Linked DNA regions of Rhinolophus ferrumequinum. The protein of the gene in region 2 purifies or fractionates together with the protein of the main gene of each other region. This does not show direct contact. Links are inferred from orthologs where the notes say so. Each region holds a gene or a part of one and is shown on either strand. Other genes may lie near its edges.

Evidence for each region. The genes of interacting proteins can lie anywhere in the genome.
Region 1: the proteins of PIDD1 (region 2) and CASP2 purify together in Homo sapiens (affinity purification with western blotting; 5 studies listed by BioGRID and IntAct, with this or other methods). This does not show direct contact. The link is inferred for Rhinolophus ferrumequinum from reciprocal best matches to the Homo sapiens genes PIDD1 and CASP2.

Annotation. Positions count from the first base shown.
Region 1 is NC_046309.1:7,698,074-7,708,370, forward strand, and holds the start of CASP2 (caspase-2), read right to left. Parts: upstream 3,837-10,297; 5' UTR 3,737-3,836; coding exon 3,663-3,736; intron 635-3,662; coding exon 484-634; intron 184-483; coding exon 16-183; intron 1-15. Other genes in the region: TMEM139 (transmembrane protein 139), read right to left, coding at 5,301-5,715, 5,926-6,251. UniProt on the Homo sapiens protein: Is a regulator of the cascade of caspases responsible for apoptosis execution. Might function by either activating some proteins required for cell death or inactivating proteins necessary for cell survival.
Region 2 is NC_046294.1:481,714-491,664, forward strand, and holds the start of PIDD1 (p53-induced death domain-containing protein 1), read right to left. Parts: upstream 3,773-9,951; 5' UTR 2,921-3,772; intron 2,334-2,920; 5' UTR 2,258-2,333; coding exon 1,954-2,257; intron 1,525-1,953; coding exon 1,111-1,524; intron 792-1,110; coding exon 582-791; intron 499-581; coding exon 444-498; intron 294-443; coding exon 92-293; intron 15-91; coding exon 1-14. Other genes in the region: RPLP2 (60S acidic ribosomal protein P2), read left to right, coding at 6,927-7,049, 7,609-7,657, 8,413-8,511, 8,610-8,686. UniProt on the Homo sapiens protein: Component of the DNA damage/stress response pathway that functions downstream of p53/TP53 and can either promote cell survival or apoptosis.

The sequences.
Region 1 (10,297 bases), on a different chromosome or scaffold from region 2:
TCTTGGGCTCCATACCGGTGGGAGTACATGCTGAAGACCCGAGAGGGTTGTGAGCAACAGATCCTCCAGGTGACCCTGCTTGGTCGCTCTCAGGGCCACACAGAAGGCATCAAAAGCCTGGGGACCCCTCTTGGGCAGCAAGTTGAGGAGCTCCACATTCTGGCTGAAACTGCCCACTTTGGCCTATGATACAAGAACGAAACATGAAATCATACTTACTTATCTAGCTATCATTGTATTTCTCCAGATGAGCTTCCTAAAAATGGCACCATCCATCTCAAGAATTCCCTTTATCGGCAAAACATGCACGGGTGACACCCTTCCTGTAATTCTTGAACCACATCTGTTTTCTGCTAACCGCTCTGGGGCAGGAGGGTATTTCCATTGGCTGAGGAAGGCCCTGCCTCCTTTTCCCACTTTATCATATTCTGCTCCTACTTCTACAGCCAATTTACTTGGCTTTCCTCTTTTGCCTCGAGATACCTGAATGTGCTCCCTCATTTCCAAGGTGATGATGTCTTTCTCCAGCAGATGTTCTAAGAGTTCACCCAGCAACAGCTGTTTGGCTAGCACCACTCGGTTCTTTTTTAGAGCTTCCTGATGGTCAGGATGCATGCCACAAACTCCCAACATCCTACAGATAAAAGGCAGAGAGAAAGACTGTGAAGTGCAAGATTTGGTACAGAAGAGTAGAGTGGAAGAGGCGTGGGCGGGAAGAACAGAAAGAACAGGACTTACAATAACCAAGATCACGTACATTTTATTGCATCTGGTTAAAATCAAAGGATTAAGCAGTAACACACTGACCCTAAGAAAATTATGTATGTAATTCTTTACTGAGTATGTTCAACTGAGAGCATCACCTGAGACAGATGGTCTGTCTAGAGGAGGGAAATCTCTGTCTTGACAAAGATAACATACACACAGCAAGCACACATGTATTCACGAGAAGAAACATTCCTCTGACAGACGAATTTCAATTAGGAGGCTACTCCAGAAAACATTTCACATTATTTATCTAGGCTGCTGAAAGTGATATAAGTTTAACATCATCCTGGGTGAGGAATAAAATCATTTGACACACTGGCAAAAACTCAAACCAATGGCCAGCTTTAATAGAAAATAAATGAGACAGACACACAGACACATACTCTGTCTAGCCTACTTATAACAATTGTAACTATGGCTTTTAAAGTTTTAAGACTTTAAAAGCCATAGGACAAAATGACAGTAGAAATGATAATGAATCCTGTAAGAACGGGGTAAGTAGAAAGTATGACAGAAAATCACAGTAGACAAATACCAATGACAAACACAATCACCATCCCTTGAGATCAGTTAGAAGTAATGCACATACAGGATAAATTATTTTGGTAATTTAGTTTACTAGGGATGTCTTAATTTCAAGGATTCCTTAGTTTTGCTATTGCTTTGGAAAGAGATCAATTTCTGTTTATGAACCAAAAGAATCCCATTTCCAATGTATATCATCTATGTGCCTAGTTTATATAAATCCAGAGCTCGCCAGCCTGCTTAGCCAGTGTCCAAATATATGACAACTGTAAGGGCCTGATGGTAGTGAGAAAGGAATATGGTAATAGCTTCAGTTTATAATTTAAAAACCTATCCAAAAGATGCATTCTGATTTCAAAGATGCTAAAATGTGCATCTTAGAATCAGTGAAACACCATGCATCTAAGGATGTACTTAGCTTAACTCTAGGTTAGAGGAGAGAAAAGCAGAGTCTCGGAAGAGCTGAGAGAGACCCAAAAAGACAGCATGTGGGATCCTAAAGCAGAGGAAGTGATCAGGAAAACATTCCCAGGATTGGAAGCAGCTAACTTAGGTTAAGTTTCGGTTTGGAACAGTGCTGGTCCATTTTAATTCTTGTTACCCCAAAACTTCAGGAAAACCTGCTACAACATCACAATCTAGAGAAATCAAAAACCCCATTTAAAATCACCTTAGAACAGACCAAAGCAGTAATAATGATGACATGTGAACTCCGGTAAAAAGAAGTGATACTAGGCCAACCACGAGATAACATCGCATGCAGCTGGATGCTATTTCCTTAGCATACATACCAAAGGCAGAGCAGGTTTACCTGCTCGGTTTCTTCCCCTGGTTTACCAGAGTATTTTTTTCTCATTAGAACTTTCTCCTTCCAGTAGATAAGCTGTAACAGATCGCCCCAGTTGCCTTAATTATGCACAAAGCTAAACGACCAAACTTCTTGTTTTGATTTGAAAAAAGTGTATTGTTTTCTTGTCCCTCGCTTTGACGAAAAGTTACCCTTTGAACGGTCCTTTTGATGTGAACAGATGTTTTGTAGAACAAAAATCTAAGGACTAATTTTAAACTTACAACATTCCACTTTTGTAATTCGTTTTCAATTGTTTGATGTATAGTAGTAAGAACAACTGTAACCTAGTTTTAAGAGAAACCAGTGCTTTCTTTTAGTTCAACTGTATTTCCCTTGTTATTTCAAAAGACTTTATCAAGTTTAGTTTGTTGCAACAGTCATTTTCTTGGGACCAAGTTCGAGTGCAAAGCCATTTGTAAAAGGCTTTGCCATACTTATTTTAATATTGTCTGCTGCTAACTTTTGATGAATAAAAACCTAAAAAAAAACCCCAAAACTTTCTCCTCCCTTGGTTCTCTTGACACCATTCTTTAGGTCTCTGCCCACTACATTCCACTTCCCTCCAGAGAACCTTCCCCCTACCCCCAAAGAACCTGTTCCTAGTCTATCTTATCCTACTCACAATTCACTAATTGACTCCCAGTTAACTGTCACGTTTCAGATTTGAATATTCAATAAAAAGCTCCTTAGGTTTCGTCTGAACCATCATCGCTTCTCCACACACTTGCTCTTTCCTGTATTCCACATTATGTGGAGAGACTCAAAGGTGCACTTTCCAAAGTAAACACAATCATCTAGAACTTTAGGGCACATCTGGAAGGGGAAAAAGGGCGGGGAAAAAGGACACAAAGAGAGTTCTTCAGTCTTGATTCTCTGTCCTTATGCAGGTTCCAGTTCTGAGGTCTTAAATTAATCTTCTGGGTCTGGACCAGGAGGCATTTAAATATATCATCCTGGGTGATGTCTGCCATTACAAGATTTAACTGGGGCAGAGAAGGAGACACACTAGGTGCCTGGGGAAACTCCCTGTCCTTTCAAAGTACTCAAATCCCAAAGCCTGTATTGACTGCTTTGCAAATCTGGTCATTATACCCAAGCACTACCGGTCATGATATATTCAATCCAAATCAAATGCACATCAGGCAGAATTCCCAGGTCTGCAGGTCTCATCAGTTTTTAAGGCTAGAGTATAATTCCTCCTAAAGGAAGAAAGGGAAAGATTCTCTTAAAGACTTAAAGATGGAGAATTTTAAGAGAAGCCGAGATTTGGCAGGACTGGAAAGAGCCCCCCTGGGTTGGACGAATCGAAGCTGGGCAGCCTTTGCTCAGGAGGGACAAGGCCGAGAAGAGGCCCGCCCGACCGGGCGCCCCTTGGGGGCGCATCCCGGCCTCCGGGCCTCGGCAGGAAACGCGAGCTTCCAGGCTCTTCAAGGGGAGGGGGCGCCAGGGCCACACGCTTGGAACCCCGATCTCCCTCCCTGGGCCCCACTATGGACCCCTGGGACCTTCCGCCACTCACCTGCGTCCCCTGTCAGCGGTCATCAGATCCTTTTGCTGGAAGGCGGGCCGGGAGCTTGCGATCGGCGTCGCCATTTCTCGCTTTTCCCGGGCTGTGAGCGGACCGCCCACAACCCAAACACACCGACAGCCGCCGCGTCCTCGGCATCCCAGCCCCGTCCGCCGAAGCACAACGCGCCTGCGCCCTACCGCCCTTAGCACCACCCCTACACCAGGCTGCCCCGCCCCTACTGTCGCCCGCGGGCGCGCGCGCGCGCAGAGCTTTCCGGCGGACGCGCGGGCCAATGGGGTGAGAGCGCGGTCGGCGGAAAAGGAAAAGGCGGGCACAGCGGGGGGATCCGCCCAGTCCTAGGCGGGGAATGCGATTGGTGGTCGGTTCCCGCGGAAATCACGGCCCGCTTCCCGGCCCCTCCCACGCCGCCTTCCCGGCCTATTGCAAGGGCGTTACGGAAACGGGTGTGGCCGGGCTTTTCATTTTATTGAACGGTTGGGGCAAGGGTTAGGAGGAGGCGGAGAGCGCGAGAAGGCGCTCGGCGGACACGCGCGCGGTGACTGAGAGCCTGCGTGGGGCGCGCAGCCCGGAGGGGTGGGGTGGGTCCGCGGTGGTTGAGCAGCTCCCGGTGGCTGAAACCTACACCACCACCGCAGCACCTGATTCCAATCCGGTGTTCTGTTGGGAGTTGAGGGACGGGGGAGGGACGGGGGCGGGCCGCGCTGGGGAAAGCTGGTAGCGGTCAGAGTGCAGGGGTGAGGCTGAAGCGATGACAGGCTGTGCGAGTGGCGCCAGCGCTTCACATTGGAGAGTCACGAGTATCGCCTTAGGTACTCCGCCAGCCTGCCTGGAAGCTCACGTTGTATCCCTGCTGACCCTCCTCTCCGCCCGTTCTCACACTGGGAGGTCTAACCTTGGGGCAGCTTTGCTCCACTGCTTCCCCCATTGGATGGGCAGGAACTGTTCCCACAGGGGCAGGGTCCGTCACAGCGTTGATTAGCTTTGCTCCTCTAGGAGGCTGAGCTTGCGCTTCACGCTCAGCCTGCCCTGTCTGCAGACGCAGCGGGTCCCCCATTCCGTCTCCGCCTCTCACTAGCAGTTGTCCAGAACGGAGACCGACACGTGCGGATGGCCTGGCTTCCTCTACCTTGTACTGAGAACACAGTGGGCTTTGGGATCAGAAAAGCCAGAGCTCAAATCGTTTTTATGCTATTTACGAGTACTGTGCCCCTGTGCAAGGAATCACTTTTCTGACCCTGGGACTCCTCATTTTTCAGTTGCAGGTAATAATACCTCACATGGCTGAGAGGCCTAAGTGACCTAATAGAGAGGCAAAGCACCTGGAACAGAAGCAACAGAGCTGTCACTTAAATGTTGTTTCTCTTCTTCATTCCCCAGATTCGGTGCATGACGACCTCATCTCACCCTCAGTTTAACTCCGGAAATATCGGATGTGGGGTAGGTTTCGGAATGTTGCCTGAATGTTGTCAACTACGACGGACTTACCATAAGCCTGACTCCTCTCTGGATTGAATTGCCCATTTGTTATGTCCGGTTCCTGACACCGAGCAGGCAGGCATTGGGAAATGTTGGTCAAATGAAGGAGTGGGTCTGGTGCAGAGAGATGATATATCCTGGGACACTCTGTTAGGGGGGTGTCCAGTTGTCATCATGGAAAACATTGTCATCATCAGGGTGACCAAAGCTGACATCATAGGCGGGGGGTGGAGTAAGAGGCTCCAGTTTGGGGATCGACTCCAATTTGGGGAGTGTCCCCAAGCTCTGCAGATCCGGAGCAGTGGACACTACTCGCGGTCCCCGAAGCCGCAGGCTGACGAGAGCTCCTCCAGGGCTTCCCCGGGTCATGGAGCCCTCTGAGCCCACTCGCCTCTCCAGTCTGTCTGTCCTGGGTCCCTCTGGATGGCTAGGCTGCCTGTCTACAAGTCCTGGGGGGATTTCAACACTGCTGTAGGGGGGTGGTTGATCCAACTCTTGCGGGGGGCACTGGGATTCTAACACCACGGCCTCTTCATAGGTGGGCACCTCAAAGGCTTCGTTGTCCCTGAGGGAGGAGAAATAAGGTCATTGGTGGCTTCCTGAAAGGAGTCCTTTTTCCGCTTTCTATCTACCACAAAGGACCCCTCCACAAGCCCGTGACCCCTCCTCTCGCTGATACCGGTGACAGAGGAAAGCAGAGCCTAAGAGACTAGAAGGACACGGGGAGCATGGATCCCCCGTGAAGTCCTGCAAGCCTGCCCACATCTTAACTCACCGTGCATTGCCGGAGGCCCCTGGGTTCTCCGTCTGCACTGATTGGAACACCTTTTTCAGAAAACAGGCCAGGAGGCAGGCACACGTGAAGAAGCCACCCAAGGTCAGAAAGAAATAAGCGACAGGGGCAATGTCTGGCTGTATGCCCAGCAGAGCCAGCCCCAGGAGGAAGGAGGTGCAGCACAGGTAGAGAAACAGCTTCTCCAGTCTTCCCCACCACTGGCTGAGCACCATGGCCCTTCCCCAGGCTCCTGCAAAAAGATACACAGCTGTTGTGTCTAAACTAGCAATTGGCAGCATGGCTGGGTCAGATTCCAAAGTAACCATATTAGACACCTTTCTGGATTTTAAGTCAGATGATTGGGTTTCAAATCAGATAAATGAGCAGCAGGGTCCTCTCCAGGCCAGTAATTCTTTTTAGGATCCCACTGTTGTCCCCGAGTATTCGTATATGTGGACTAGCCAGGAAACCAGCCCAGGAGTTCTGACTCCCAGCCCTCATGCCAGTTGACTGGGTCACAGTCCTGCCTTCCTTTCTCCTTCTTCCCTGTGGTCTCCCTTCCAGCTCTGCCTTTCAACACACACCATCCAGGATCCAGTCCTGGGTGGGCTCTGGGGCTTTGGGGTTCACTGGCACCCCTGGAATCCAGGTGATGGGGCAGGCCCTGCCCTTTCTCTGTTACTGCTCTTGCTGGACTCCACCCCCTAGCTTCCCAGTCAGAGACCCTCAGTATGACCCTGTTGGGGTGAGTAGGGAGGGAGGAAGCACCACTCACCCTGTCTGACCCCACCTTCCTATTTCCTCCTGTCAACCCATGCTCCAGTTGGAGGGAGAAAATGCGCAGAGGCCCACCACAGCCACAGGGACACAACTAAGTGAGAGAGAACCTTACAGACAAAGGCCTAGGGCGGTGACAGTGGCCCAGATAACTCCTGATCTCTTTACACCCCCCACCTCTGCCAGGGTCTCCCATCCTCTTCTGGCCCTAACGCAGTAAAGACAGATTTCTAGTTTCCTGCCTGGAGTTACCGCGGTTCCCTGGAGTTGCGTAGGGGCTGGGAGGTTGGTAGGGAGAAGCCTTTTCTTTCCTTTGCAACACAGCAGCAGCACCAAGGCAGCTGTATTCCAATACCAGCCTGTCAGGAGTTCCCTGAACTCTGAATAGCAAGGACTCACAGACTCTGCAGAGGGGCCAGCCCTCCCTCCACCCCAGCCCCAATCCCAGGACCCTCCCGCCCCTCTCACCGGCCTTAGGAGTTCCTCCCACAACTGTCTGGACCAGACTCCGCAGAAAGTGGGTTGTGGGGGGAGTCCGAGGAGGGGAGGAGGTGGAGCCCACTGGCCCCACCCTCTTTTCTGCCCCAATCCCTCAGTTCCTGCCCCGGCTCATTCTTCCCGTTTCTCGGTGCGGCTGACCTACCGCCGCACCTGGCTTTTTCTTCCCTCCATCCACCCCCCGCAGTGCCTTAATGAGAGGCGCCTCCTTCCCACCCCCAGCGATCTTTGTACTTCGGGCCAGAGTTCAATTCCCCTTTCCTTATTCTCAATCCGGTGTGTGCTGAGAGTTCGCCTTTACGTTCAGGGAATCTGTTTTGTGCCTAGGGGCGGAGACTTTGGTTTGTTTAATGTCTGTAAGTCACACAGTGCTTTGCATACTGTAAACTGCTTTGGGCCTGGAATGAATAGTGCGTGCTGCTTCTGTTGCCTTGGTGCGTTTTCCATGAACTCCTTGTTTTCTGCAGACCTGAAAGACGAGTTTGTGTGTATGCTGCTTGGCCAGGTGAACTCTCGATTCTTCGGAAACCACCTTGGAGGCAAAGCCTGCTGTGGAGGCTGTCTCCACAGTATAACCACCTACCTCTGTCGCTTTACCTGTACGTATAGTAATTTTCGGTGTATGCACCTTTTCCCCCCCGTGAGCTTCTCATGGTGAGTGATTAGTTTCAATCATCTCTGAATCCCTGCAACTAACTCAAGTCCTGACAGACACATAGTAGGTGCTCACTAAGCATAGCTAAATGCTTTGATTAGAAGGCTACCATTTCGCCTGGCCTCACCACACACAGGAGAGCCAGGACCCACTCTTTTCAGTTGCGGATCGGGCAGTAAATTCTGGGTGAGGCGAGTGCTGGGAGGTGCAGAGTGGCTGGAGGCACACTTTGTCCTTGCAACTCAGAGAAGGACAGACAAGGCTGTGCTGAGTGCCTTCAGAGTCACCAGTGGACAAACGGAGGGGAGCGGAAGATAACGGGGCACAAATCTAATCCCAGGGACAGGCGTGCCGCATAGCCGGGATTGCGGCAGCAGACGATGTGTGAGCATGAGTGTGTGAGTGTGTGTGTGTGTGTGTGTGTGTGTGGGTGTGTGTGTGAGAGAGAGAGAGAGAAAGAGACAGAAGGAAGAGGAGGACAGGGGAAAGGAGGGGTGTGTGGGTGTATAGTGGGACAAGTCATCATGAGTCTCTGTCCCAGGTGGATAGAGAAGAGGGAAGGCTATGGTTGTATAAATGAGGAAGTGGGAATGGAGAGAGGGAGGAGACGTTGTTATTTTGTTTCCAGCAGTTTCCTTGCATACTGGAAAATGTAGGTGGGATCAGAAGAATTTCAGTCTATACTTAATATAGTAATAGAATGAAATTGGGCAAAAGCCAGTTGGTCCGCATAATAAGTGTCGATGTAAGAACGTTCAAACCTGTAGAGAACGTGTATAAGACTTTATTTGAGCCCAAACTGACAACAGGTGCCAGGAAGCAAGATCTCAAATGCTCCAGAGAATGACGGTTTTGCAGTTTCTTTTATGCATTTGAAATTAAGGAGGGAATGTAAGGAAGATTACATGGAGGTGGGAGAAGGCAAGGCGGGGATTAGATGACAGGATACTTACTGTCAGGTGCTCTCTTGAGGGTGGTCAGGCCTTCGCGGTTATGACTTCTGGCATCTCAAAGGTGTGTGATCCTAGATGCCCAAGAACAACGGACACGGCCGGCTTCAAACCTCTCACTAAACAGGTGATAGGCCTGGGGCCTGACTCCCCACCGGACCCTCTCAGTTGGGAATTGGTGATCAGGTCACCTGAGGTTACTTTCCTTAGGACCCCTTTTGGTCTACATCTTGTGTCATGTAATTTTCCCTTTTTTGATTATTTCCTCCAGTTGAATTCTAAGAAATGTCATTATTGAGAGAAACAATGTGAAAGTTTTAATTGTCCTGAATGCACGTGGCCAAATGGTTTCCCCAAGCTTTCACTTTCCTTTTTCCTTCATCACCTTAGTATCCTTAGCGACATTTGAATGCCCCACTTAATTCTATTGCCATTCCCTTTTCTACTCACCTGCCTTCCACAAACGACCTTGCTAGAGGTTGGGTCACCCCTCTTAGCTGGCTGCCTGTGCCCACATCATTTGTGAGGGTGATGGGGAAGGGGACGGGGAGGGCAGGGAGAAGGGAGAAGCGGACATAGTTGACAGGCTTCTGGTGAGGGCTATCAGATGCCTACCGCTGCATGCTCTCCGTTCTTACGTTTCTGTGATTTTGTGTTTCTGAATCTCGGTCTGCTTTATGCTCACAGCCAACACGTGTGCACTGTTTTGTGTGTATTTGTGCTAAATACACACATTAAGTAACTTAAAATATGTAGAATGTGATGAGAGGTAGTTACTGTTACTATGTCCCTGGGAAGGGTAAGGTCAGCGGCTTGAGGAAAATGTATAAGTAATCAAGGGTGGGGTCAACATTTGAACCCAAAGTCCCCGTCCAGAACCCTGGCTCTTAACTGCTCTGTCATCACACTCGGAACTCTCTTTTTGGCTGCCCTCATAATTATCATTTCACAAAACACCTCTGATACTCTACGATCATTACTCTGGTCGTCTCGGGAGAAGTGGTTAGAAAGTATTTTCCCATTGTTTGGCATCTTAAGAAAAGGCTGATCCTCAGACAGCAAAGGCGGCAAAACAGAAGATCAGAAGATAAAATAAGGTTATTGATCTATAAGGAAACATTGGGATATTAAGATCCCAAGCCCTGTATCAGGGTGCTGATCCTTTGTGGGCTCATTCAGACTGATTCTAAAAGATAACACCTTCAACTGAAGGGCTCAGGAGGCCCTCATACAGGTGACTTCTTCTAAAAGGGGGTGGTGGTGATATGGAGCGTGTGTGCAGAAGCACTTTGGCCCACAACCATGGTCTCATTTGATCCTTAGTAACAATCACGTGGGGTAGACCTGATTGTCATTTTCGTGTTACAGAGGAGGGAACCAGCTCAGAGAAGTACATGATTTGTTTAGTTAGACTCAAACTCAGAATCGTGACCTCCTCATTCCGTTGACAGTGTTTTTCTCTGTTTGTTGCCTTACTCACAGCTCCTCCAAA
Region 2 (9,951 bases):
CACAGGCCTACCTCCTGCCACACAAGGGTGCTGTGAGTGCCAGGGCCATGCCTGGCCCTCCTCACCTGCCCCCAACCTGCCCTGGCCGTGCCTGCTGGAAGGCCACCCCATGGGGCTGCAGTTCCAAGACACCACTGAGCAAGGAGTCATGGGGACCCAGGGGGACGAGGCGCGGCTCCGGCTGCCACTGTCGATAGCGGATGGTGACAGAGGTAGTAGTGGCACCAGCAGGAAACTGCAGGCGGACACCGCAGGCCAGGGTCACAGAGCAGCCTTGGGGGGTCACGGGGAAGCTGAGTGAGGACAGGATGGGCATCAGGTCAGACACACAGGGGCATGTATGTCTGAGCCTGGCACCCCTGGGGACTCAAGGAGAAGACCCCCGAGCACGTGGACAGGGTGGCTAGCTGTTCCTCCAGCCCCACCCCTCCCCCACCCCATACCTGTCCAAATCTGAGGTCAGGAACAGTCTGGGCATTTCTGGGACCATGGGTGTCCCTGTGGAAGGACAGAGAGATTGTTAGGATAGTGACGGTACCTGTGTCCTGTTGGTGATCTGCCCTCCCCAGCGACAAGCCTACCTGGGGGACTGTGGGAGTCTGGCAGGGCCTTGCCCAGAGGGTTCCCCTGCAGGCGCACAAAGGGGGCGTCCAGCAGCTCTGGGGGCACGTCCCGAAGCTGGTTGTCCCTCAGGTCCAGCCGGGTGAGCAGTGGGAGGCGGGCCAGGCCGGCGGGCACAGAGGCCAGAAGGTTGCTATGCAGAACAAGGAGGCGCAAGGAGCGCAGCCCCGCTGTGGGCCGGCGCTGGCTTAGGGCAAGCGGAGGGCCAGTCAGTGCCACCCAGGCCCAGAGCGCCAGGGTGCTAGGGCCTCCCTGGAAGCCCTTGTGGTTGTTGCCCCATGGCCAGACACAGAGTTCGGCTAGCCTGCACAGGGAGCCTCCGAGGCCAGGGCAGTGGGGGTGGGGGGCAAACAAGACCACTGGGAGGAGCAAAGGCTCAAAGGTGGGCCCCGTGGAGGACGAGGGCCCACATGAGAGCAGAGGCTGGACACTGGCTGAGGGACTCCCCAGCAGGCCCTGTGCGCCAAGGAGGGAGATACTGGTACTCACCAAGGGAATCCGGGAGGCTCTGCAGCCGGTTGGAGGCCAGACTGAGCTCAGCGAGGCTGCTCAGGCCTCCGATCTCGGGGGGCACACTGTCCAGGAGGTTCTCCGAGAGATCGAGGCGCTGCAGGGTGGACAGGGCCCCCAGTGCTGTGGGCAGCGCTTGCAGGCGGTTGTGGGTCACGGCAAGGAAGGTGAGGGTGGGAAGGGCCCCCAGGGCCTCAGGCAGCTCTGAGAGGTGGTTGTGAGAGAGTAGCAGGGCACCCAGGCCACGCATCCGCGGGACGCAGGCCGGCAGTGTCTCTAGGCTGTTGAAGCTCAGATCCAGGTGGGCCAAGCGTGCTAGGCCACTCAGTATGGCGGGCAGTGTGGTCAGGGAGCCCCGGAGGCAGGCACCCAAAGCATCCCGGCGTTGCCCACCTGGGAAGGGGAGGCAGATGTGGCCCAGTCCCAGTTCCTAGCTTGGCCCTGTCCCCAGAGAAAGAGCTGCGGAGGGAGGTACAAACCCGCAGTCCCACCCCACCCAGACAGAGACACATAGCTGCAGGGGATGGATCAAGGTGGCATCTGAGACCGCAGGCTCATCCCAGCTACAGCCATCACCCAGGACCCCCAGGAAAAACATGCACACTGGGTCTGCTGGGAGAACGCACTGGGCAGCTGCACATTGGGGGAGGAGGGCTGGATAACAACACATTGGGGGAGCATCACATTGGGGGAGGAGGGCTGGGCAGTGCTGTGTGGGAAACAGTGGTCGGGCTGGAACCGGGATTTGCCTTTGAGGACCGAGAGGCAGAAGCAGGAGCTAGAAATAGGGCTGGGACAGGGCTAGGACCACAAGGGGCTCACCTTTGAGGACCAGGGAGCGGAGGTGTGGCAGGCTCCACGGCACCCGGGCCAGGGTGGCTTCCAGCAGCTGAGGGTCCTCGTGGCCACTCAGCTGCAGGAACTCCACCTCCAGCAACTGAGGGGTCTGCTGGGCACACAGGTGCAGCAGCCGCTGGCAGCCCCCAGGGTACAGGTCCAGGCTCAGCCGGTTCCCAGCCAGGAGAGGAGGTGCCGCGGGCCACGCATCCACAGTGTCTGCAGCATCTTTTGCAGCATCTTCTGCAGCAGCCAACTGGGGTTCCAGCCCCTCCTCCACTGCAGCCATCGCCCCCCAGCCGTCCTCGGGGGCCAGACATGTCCCAGCTTGCCAGGCAGGCCTGCTCAGGCAGGGCCCAGGGAGGCTGCAGTCAGGGTGAGGAGTGGGCAGGAGTGAGGCTGGACCCTCCTCCCAGGAAGGGACTCTGGTTAGGGGGAGATCTCTGGGCCCCGCTAGCTGGTCCACAGATCTCAGAGCCGAGGCTGGACAGACCATTGGATCACTGCTGAAATGGGGCTGGAGGATGGGACCCCAGGGCTGGGAGGGCAGCAGGCAGGGCGAGCCCTGTGTGCAGGGGAGCCTGGGGGATCTGCTGGGGACAGGGAGGCTTCAAATTTCACTAATTCTGGAAATTTGGACAAAGGTCCCATAGAGCTGTCGGGTCATCCTGCCGTTCTCTCCCTCTCAGCCCCCACTCCCGGGATAAGAGTCCTGAGTGCAGCCCCACCTCCAACCTTCACACTCAGCAGCTTTGATAGGAGGTCCGGACTCTCATCTACCACAAGGGGGAGGTGGCCCAGGCAATGGGTGATTGTGACCAGTTATGTCAAAGAAGTGAATGTGAGGGAGGGGACCTGAGGTCTGAGTCACCGGGCGGCTTCCGGGTCCTACGGATTGGACCCCGCTTCCAGACCCCTGGAGGAGGGCTCTCCCGCTGCTTCCAGTTCATACCTCGGTTGGCAGGGGAGGGCGCTGCACAGCGCATCCGGGGCTCCCGCGGCCTGGGGGCCGGCCCGACCACGAGAGCGCGCCGTCCCCCCCACCTCGCCGTCCCCACGGCCCCCGCGGACGGAGCGTACCTGCGCTCCAGCCGGCGCGGTCCCAGGTGCCGGGTCCGTGCGCGCTGCGCGCCTGGGTTCCCGCTGGCGCGTTTCCGGGCGGGCTGGGACTCGGTCGCCACCCCCTCCGGTCCCCGCCCCGTCAGAAAGCGCCCGTTGCTCCCGCCTGGGGTCAGCGGGCCAAGGCCTCAGGGTCTCTCCCGACTCCGCCTGCCCTCTGCTGGCCTGCACCCTGGAGACGCGGACGCCAACCCCATCTGCCCCGCAGCCTGTTCAGCTGCCCGCCCCCTCCTGTTAGCCCGCCTCGGTCTGTGGTGGCCAGCCCACTCGACGGGGGAGACCCAGGTTCGCGCCACGAAACCCGCCTTTTCAGAGGTCTGGCGGATCGGGGTTCTGGAGGCTGATCGCAGCTGCTGCTGCTTCACGCCCAGCCCCTGCCAGAAGCCAGAGTTCTGAAAGTGCGTCCTTCCGCTGCCAGGCCCAACATGCTCTCAGGCTCTGCAGAGACCCGACGCCAGCTCCAATGACCCTACTTCATGGGCAGTCACTCTGGGCCGGTGCTCCAGCAGTAGGCTTCCCCACCTGCTGCTTTCTTCAATGTTTGTCTGCATCTCACAAGGGGGTAAAAGGAGGCTGTTTTGCCCAACGCCACACAGCTGGTGAGAGCCAAAGCCTAGGACCTCAAACCTGGTCTGTCCGACTCTTCCCCACCTGTGCTTATTCACCCCACAGAGTAGGTGCTCTGTAAATGATGAACACATCCAGTTCTGCCTGTTCTGCCCCAAATTACATCGTGTGCACCTTCTTTCCTCCACCTCCCCAGCTCCCGCCTTCCCCCCATTGTTTCCTAATAGTTGCCAGAAGAATCTTTTTTTTCTTTTCAGGTGACAATGATTATGTGTATTGTACATAAATTAATAAAATAAAAGTGTCTCCAGTTTAATTGTCCCTTCCAATATGAATTATCAAACGTCAAATGAAACTAATAAACACATGCCTCTGGGATAACAAAACCATATACAGAGGGTGCCAAAAAAGTGTATACACATTTTAAGAAAGAAAAAAAAACTATTAAAATTGTAATACTCAATATATACCGATAATAAAAGATGAATACAAGTCACGTTTGACTTCTGCAATGACAAGAGGTGCTCAAAGTGGTTCCCATCAGCGTCCAGACACTTCTGATTATGGTGAACTGCTGCTTGAGCAACGTTGACCAAAGTGTCCCAAAGTGTCCACTCGTATCATTGTGCGTGCCGCTTCAATTTCTCCCCGGCGTACCGCCAGTGTAGTGGGTTTTCTACGGTACACCACATCCTTCAAAGTCCCCCACAGGCAGGAGCTAAGGGGTGTTAAGTCAGGAGAACATGGGGAAACTCAACCGCACTTTTTTGTCCTATCCATTGTTCTGGCAAATTCTCATCAAGGGGGGAACTCAACCGCACCTCACGTCTTCATGGTCTTGCGCTCCTCGAACCACAACCGTTCTGCCATTTTCTTTGACTGTCCTGCTTGTCGCATGGTGATGCTAGCATTCCTTTGAATGCCATCTTTTGAGCGAACGTCATACTACACATTACTACGGTAATTCAATTCAACTTCGAAAAGTAGTACATAAATAACATCTCTTAAAATGTATCTACTTTTTTTGGCACCCCCGGTAGAAATCTAAATTGCATTTTCATACAAAAAATTATTTTCTGCTGACATCGATAGCATATTTTCTCAGCTACTCAGAAGTATCTTTTAAAAACCCAATCACAGGAATGTTATTCAGCCTTAAAAAGGAATGAAATTCTGACACTTGCTACAACATGGATGAAACTTGGACATCGTGTTCAGTCAAATAAGCCAGACACAGAAGGACAAATCCTGTATGATTCTGCTTATATGAGGTCCTTTGAGGAGTTAAATTCAGAAACAGAAAATGATGGGCCCCAGGGGCTGGGAACCGGAGTTATTGTTCACTAGGTATGGAGTTCAGTTTGGGATGATGAAAAAGTCCTGGACATGGATGGTGGGGATGGTGGCACAACAGTGTGAATGCCCCTAATATCCCTGAGTTATTACAATGGTAAATTTATTTTATTTTTTATTTTTTTTAAGTTTATTGGGGTGACAATGTTAGTAAAGTTACATAGATTTCAGGTGTACAATTCTGTAGTACATTATTTATATATCACATTGTGTGTTCACCACCCAGAGTCAGTTCTCTTCCCATCACCACATATTAGACCCTGTTTACCGTCTTCTAGAGCCCCCCGTCCCCCTTAAGGTAAATTTTAAAGTACTGCATTTTTTTATGACTCAAATCTTATTTTTTAAATTTTATTATTATTTTTAAGGAGGGCGCAGCTCACAGTGGCCCCTGTGGGGATCGAACCCACTACCTTGGTATTATCAGCACGGCGCTCTAACCAACTGAGCTAACCGGTCACCCCAACAATGGTAAATTTTATATTGTTTTCCACTTAAAAACCCAAACCATCAATCACATCATGCCACTTCCCTATTGACTTCAATGAAGTGCCATCCTTACCAGGATGTTTCCCTCACTTGACCTCAGCTGTGTGGCCTTGAGCAATAAAAACCTTTCTGGGCCTGCCCTCCTCAGGACGCCTAGGGCGACTGTGTGGTTTGCGTTAACACACCTAACACACCAATGCTTGAGGCACTACACTCGGGGCTCGCTTTGTTGTTCACGGACTGGCTGCTTCCTCCGGACCCATTATCAGCCACCTCTGGCCTTTGCATCTGACCCCTCTGCCTGGTGCTCCTCCCAGATCTTCGCCAGGCCAGGTCCTTCTCATCTTACAGCTGTGTCACCGCCTTATCCCTTCAGGGTCCATGTCAGCCTGGGGCAGCCTCGTGTATTTATTTTGTTTGTCGCACTACAATGTAAGTTGCGAGGCGAGAAAGCAGGGCCGGGCCTACTCCATCTCAGGACGCAGGCCTGCGACAGGATCCCTAACACGGAGTGAATGAGTGGCCAGTGCTGATGACCACGTGCACAGGTTAGTTTTGAGCCGACATGGCCAGAACACCGCAGGGGATCAGCCACTAGGGCCCAGGCGGCTCGGTACGGCGGGGTTAGTGCGACGAGCGGCTCGCCAACCTCACTGGGTCCCACTGGGTATGAACACCACCAACACGGCCGACAGCCTCCCGAGAGCCGGAAGCTCAGGGGCCGAACCCGCGCATCCTCCGTGGGGCCCACGTGTGTCAGCACAACCGCGCTTCCGGCAGCGGTGCACTGTGGGACTAGTAGTTCGCCGGCTGCGTCGGCCGCTTCCGCAAAGGGATGCGTCCTGGGCGTGGCGGCTGAGCTGCATGTTGGGGCTGTAGGCCTTGCGCGGCACGCAGGGAGCCCTGAAGGGAGACACACTCTAGTTCGGGTTCGCGCCCCGCTTTATACCGCCGCCCCAGGGATTTAGGGTGACACTCGCCCTACACTACACAAGAAAGTAGCCCCGGCACTCCCTTCGCCTTTGCTGTGGCGGCTGCGTGACTGGACGGGACAACGGACTCCCCGGCGTCGTCATTGACCGAGCGCCTCGTGACGTCACTCGGAGGCGCCCTTCACAGGGCACGGCGTACGGGTCCCGGAGGCTTCTGGGTAGCCGATTACCCCCGCCCCCCGCGCCGGCGCCTTCCTTTCCCTTCCGGACGCTGCTGAGGTCGCACGCGTGAGGCTTCTCCGCCGTCGCCGAGTGAGTGGGGCAGCCGGGCTAGGCCGCGGGCCGAGCGCGGGCCCTAGGGGGCAGGCGGAGCACGGAGCAGGGCGCGGGGCGGGCCTCGTGGGGATCCCCGAGCCGGGCCCCGCGCGGCCACGCTCGGGCCGGGGTGGGAACGGGAGGCCTCCGGGTAACCCCATGGTCCTTTTTTCCGGCCTCAGGATGCGTTACGTTGCCTCCTACCTGCTGGCCGCCCTCGGGGGCAATACCTCCCCCAGCGCCAAGGACATCAAGAAAATCCTGGACAGCGTGGGCATCGAGGCGGACGACGACCGGCTCAACAAGGTAGGGGCCCCCTGGGCCCGGGCCGACGGATGCTCTGCACGTAGGGGCCGGCCCCCTCTTCTACCCATCCCGAGTTTTACCGTTGGGAGAGTGGTTTGAGGGAGGCCCGTGGCAGCCCATGTGGTTATTTATTGGGTTGCTTTTCGGGGGCTCTGATACAGCTACAAGGAGGGTGTGAGGCAAAGCGGCTCGGTAGAAACGTAATGTAAGTTTCACATAATTTAAAATTGTTGATGATGCGTTTTCTTTAAATGTGAAGGGGAAAGTGTCTTAAAGCCATTCTCTTTCACCTACCTTATTCAAAACGTTTTGACATGCAGTGGGCATAAGCTTAGGTATCATGCATCTTTTTTCCAGTGGTGAGTTCTAGAAATGTGGTGCCAGTTTCCATTTGTAGCGACTCTCAGTTGGGAAGACGTACGCGGGTAAGAGCTAGTGTGCTGAACAGCAGAGGGCCTAGGAGCTTCAGGACACATTTGCTCGCGTCGTGTCCCCGGGGCTGCACACGGTGAAGTTCAGGTCGGGTCTGGTAACTGCTGGTTGTGGTTTTCTATTTTAGGTCATTAGTGAGCTGAACGGAAAGAACATTGAAGACGTCATCGCCCAGGGTGAGGTTGTGCAGGGCGCTTTCCTTTGCATGGTCCATCCTAATCCCTGCCGGCCAGCCTGTGGCCTGTCAGGCTTCGCTTGTGGACCAGAGCACCCTAGAAGTCTCACCAGAGCAGTGAGCACAGCTTCAGTGGGCTCGTGCCATGGGAACTTCTAGACACTCTGGGTGCAGGTCGCTAGGGGGCGCCCTTGCTGTCCCTGGGCCTGGCTGCCCTGCGCAAAGTGTTTGGGGAATTGGGCCTTTGTAAACAAGTGTCACCATGTGCTCTCTGAGGGGGTTGGGCACAGAGATTGGGGTGTGTCAGGGATGACCACGGGCTCCGGCCCCCCTCTCCTGGGCAGATTGTTTTCTGGTGACATCAGGCTGGAGTTTATGGGACTTGTTTGGGAGTTGAGCTGTTGGAGCAGCCTTTCCTGTCCTTGGGCATGTGACAGGCTAGGGCCAAAGCCAGCTCGGCAGACAGCCTGAGCTCACTGCTGTGGACGAGTGTCTGGACACTGGGACAGCAGACTCGGTCCCTGCCTCGTTATAAACATGATTGTGCAAACTGACTCCAGGGTGGGCTGTTGTGCTGCTTGTGGACTGCTTCCTAGAAGCCAGGTTCCCAGAGAGGGAATTCTGGGAGGGGTGTGTGGCAGAACCTCCTGTCTGGGAGAACGGGAGCCTGTGACACTGGCACTTGGTGACAGGCCCAATACATCAGGCAGGCTGAGCAGCTGCTCCTGTCTCACCTCCCTTCTCTGGTTTCCGTAGGGATTGGCAAGCTGGCCAGTGTCCCTGCCGGCGGGGCTGTGGCCGTCTCCGCCGCCCCAGGAGCTGCAGCTCCTGCTGCTGGTTCTGCCCCAGCCGCGGGTAAGTGCAGGTCTGGCAGCACTCGCTGCACATGCCCTGGGGCCCCTGGGAGTCCGGCCTGCATGGGGCCTCACTCACCACAGCCTTTGTCCCTTCAGCAGAGGAGAAGAAAGACGAAAAGAAGGAGGAGTCGGAGGAATCGGATGACGACATGGGATTTGGCTTGTTTGATTAGAGTCCTGCGCGCCTGCAAATTAAACCCTTTTTACGTATCTCTTGAACCGCCTATGAGCCTTTTGTCAGAACCTGTCCTCTGTGCTGGGCAGGTGTGGGGCTCCCAGGGAGGAGCAGCTGCTGCCTGGAGAGCTGAGGTCGTGGTTGACAACACAGGGGACACTTCCTGTGGGTGGGTCTTGAGTGTTGCCAGGCCTTGAGCAGTCTCAGGAAGGGACAGGAGCCCCTTCTTGGGCATGGTCCTGGCCCCTAAGGACTGAGGGCTCTCCCAGGGAGTGAAGCCTTCAGGGGGATACCCAGGAAAGCTTCAGAAGCAGCAGTGGGTGGTCTCCAGGAGGTGGCTCCAGTAGTCCCAGTCCCCCGCTGCCAAGACTGGTAGCGTTCTTCAGTTACACAAGAGACGTGGTGGGTCGCGTCCAATTCTTGCTCGAGCCAGTGCCTCAGCTCTGCCTTAACCCCTGAGCAACTTGGGCATTCATCTCTGAGCCTCAGTTTCACTGGTTGTCTGATGGGCTATCACCTGCTTTGCGGGGCAGATGTTGGATCACATGGACACTAAGTCTTTTTGGGGTGGCTTGCCCACACCTCTCCCACCAGGCTCTGGCCTGGAATGTGGGGTAGAGGGCAGAGGCCCACCCACGCACCATCCTGGCCCACAGCTGTTTGTAGTGTCCTGGGCCTTCATCTTCCACCCACCAGTGCCAGGCCACTGAGGAGACACTGCTTCCCCCTCCAAAGGCTCTGGGTCAGCAACTAGCTGGGGTGTGCTGTGTGTGTCCTATGTAGGACCTGCCCCTGTGGGCTGGAGTTCTGTGGGCAAAGTGAAGGAGGAGAACACGGGGCGGGGTGGGGGGGAAGAGGCCTCCCTTGGAGCCAAGACCTGGAGGAAGAGGCCCTGGGCAGGACAGCCATGGTGACCCAGATGACCAGGGACTAGGGTGGGACCTAGGTATTGGGGAGGAAGTAGAAGCCATGTTTCTGGGTTGGTGGGACATGGGGCAGTGAGGACCACTGCAAGTGTCTGAGCAGCATGTGCTGTGAGCAGGGAATTTGCATGTGGGGTTGGGCCGCCCCAGAGCAGTGGACTCCATGAGACCCTCACCTTAAGTGTGGGCCAGAGGACACCATGGGAGTCGGGATGTGACACCACCTGGCAGGATCGGCACAGGAGGGGCTCTTCCATGCCCAGCCAGGATTCCGGGAAGGAAGGGCCGCCCTGTTCCTGGCTCCAGAGCTGAAGGTCCCAGAGGCCTGGAGGGAGGGACA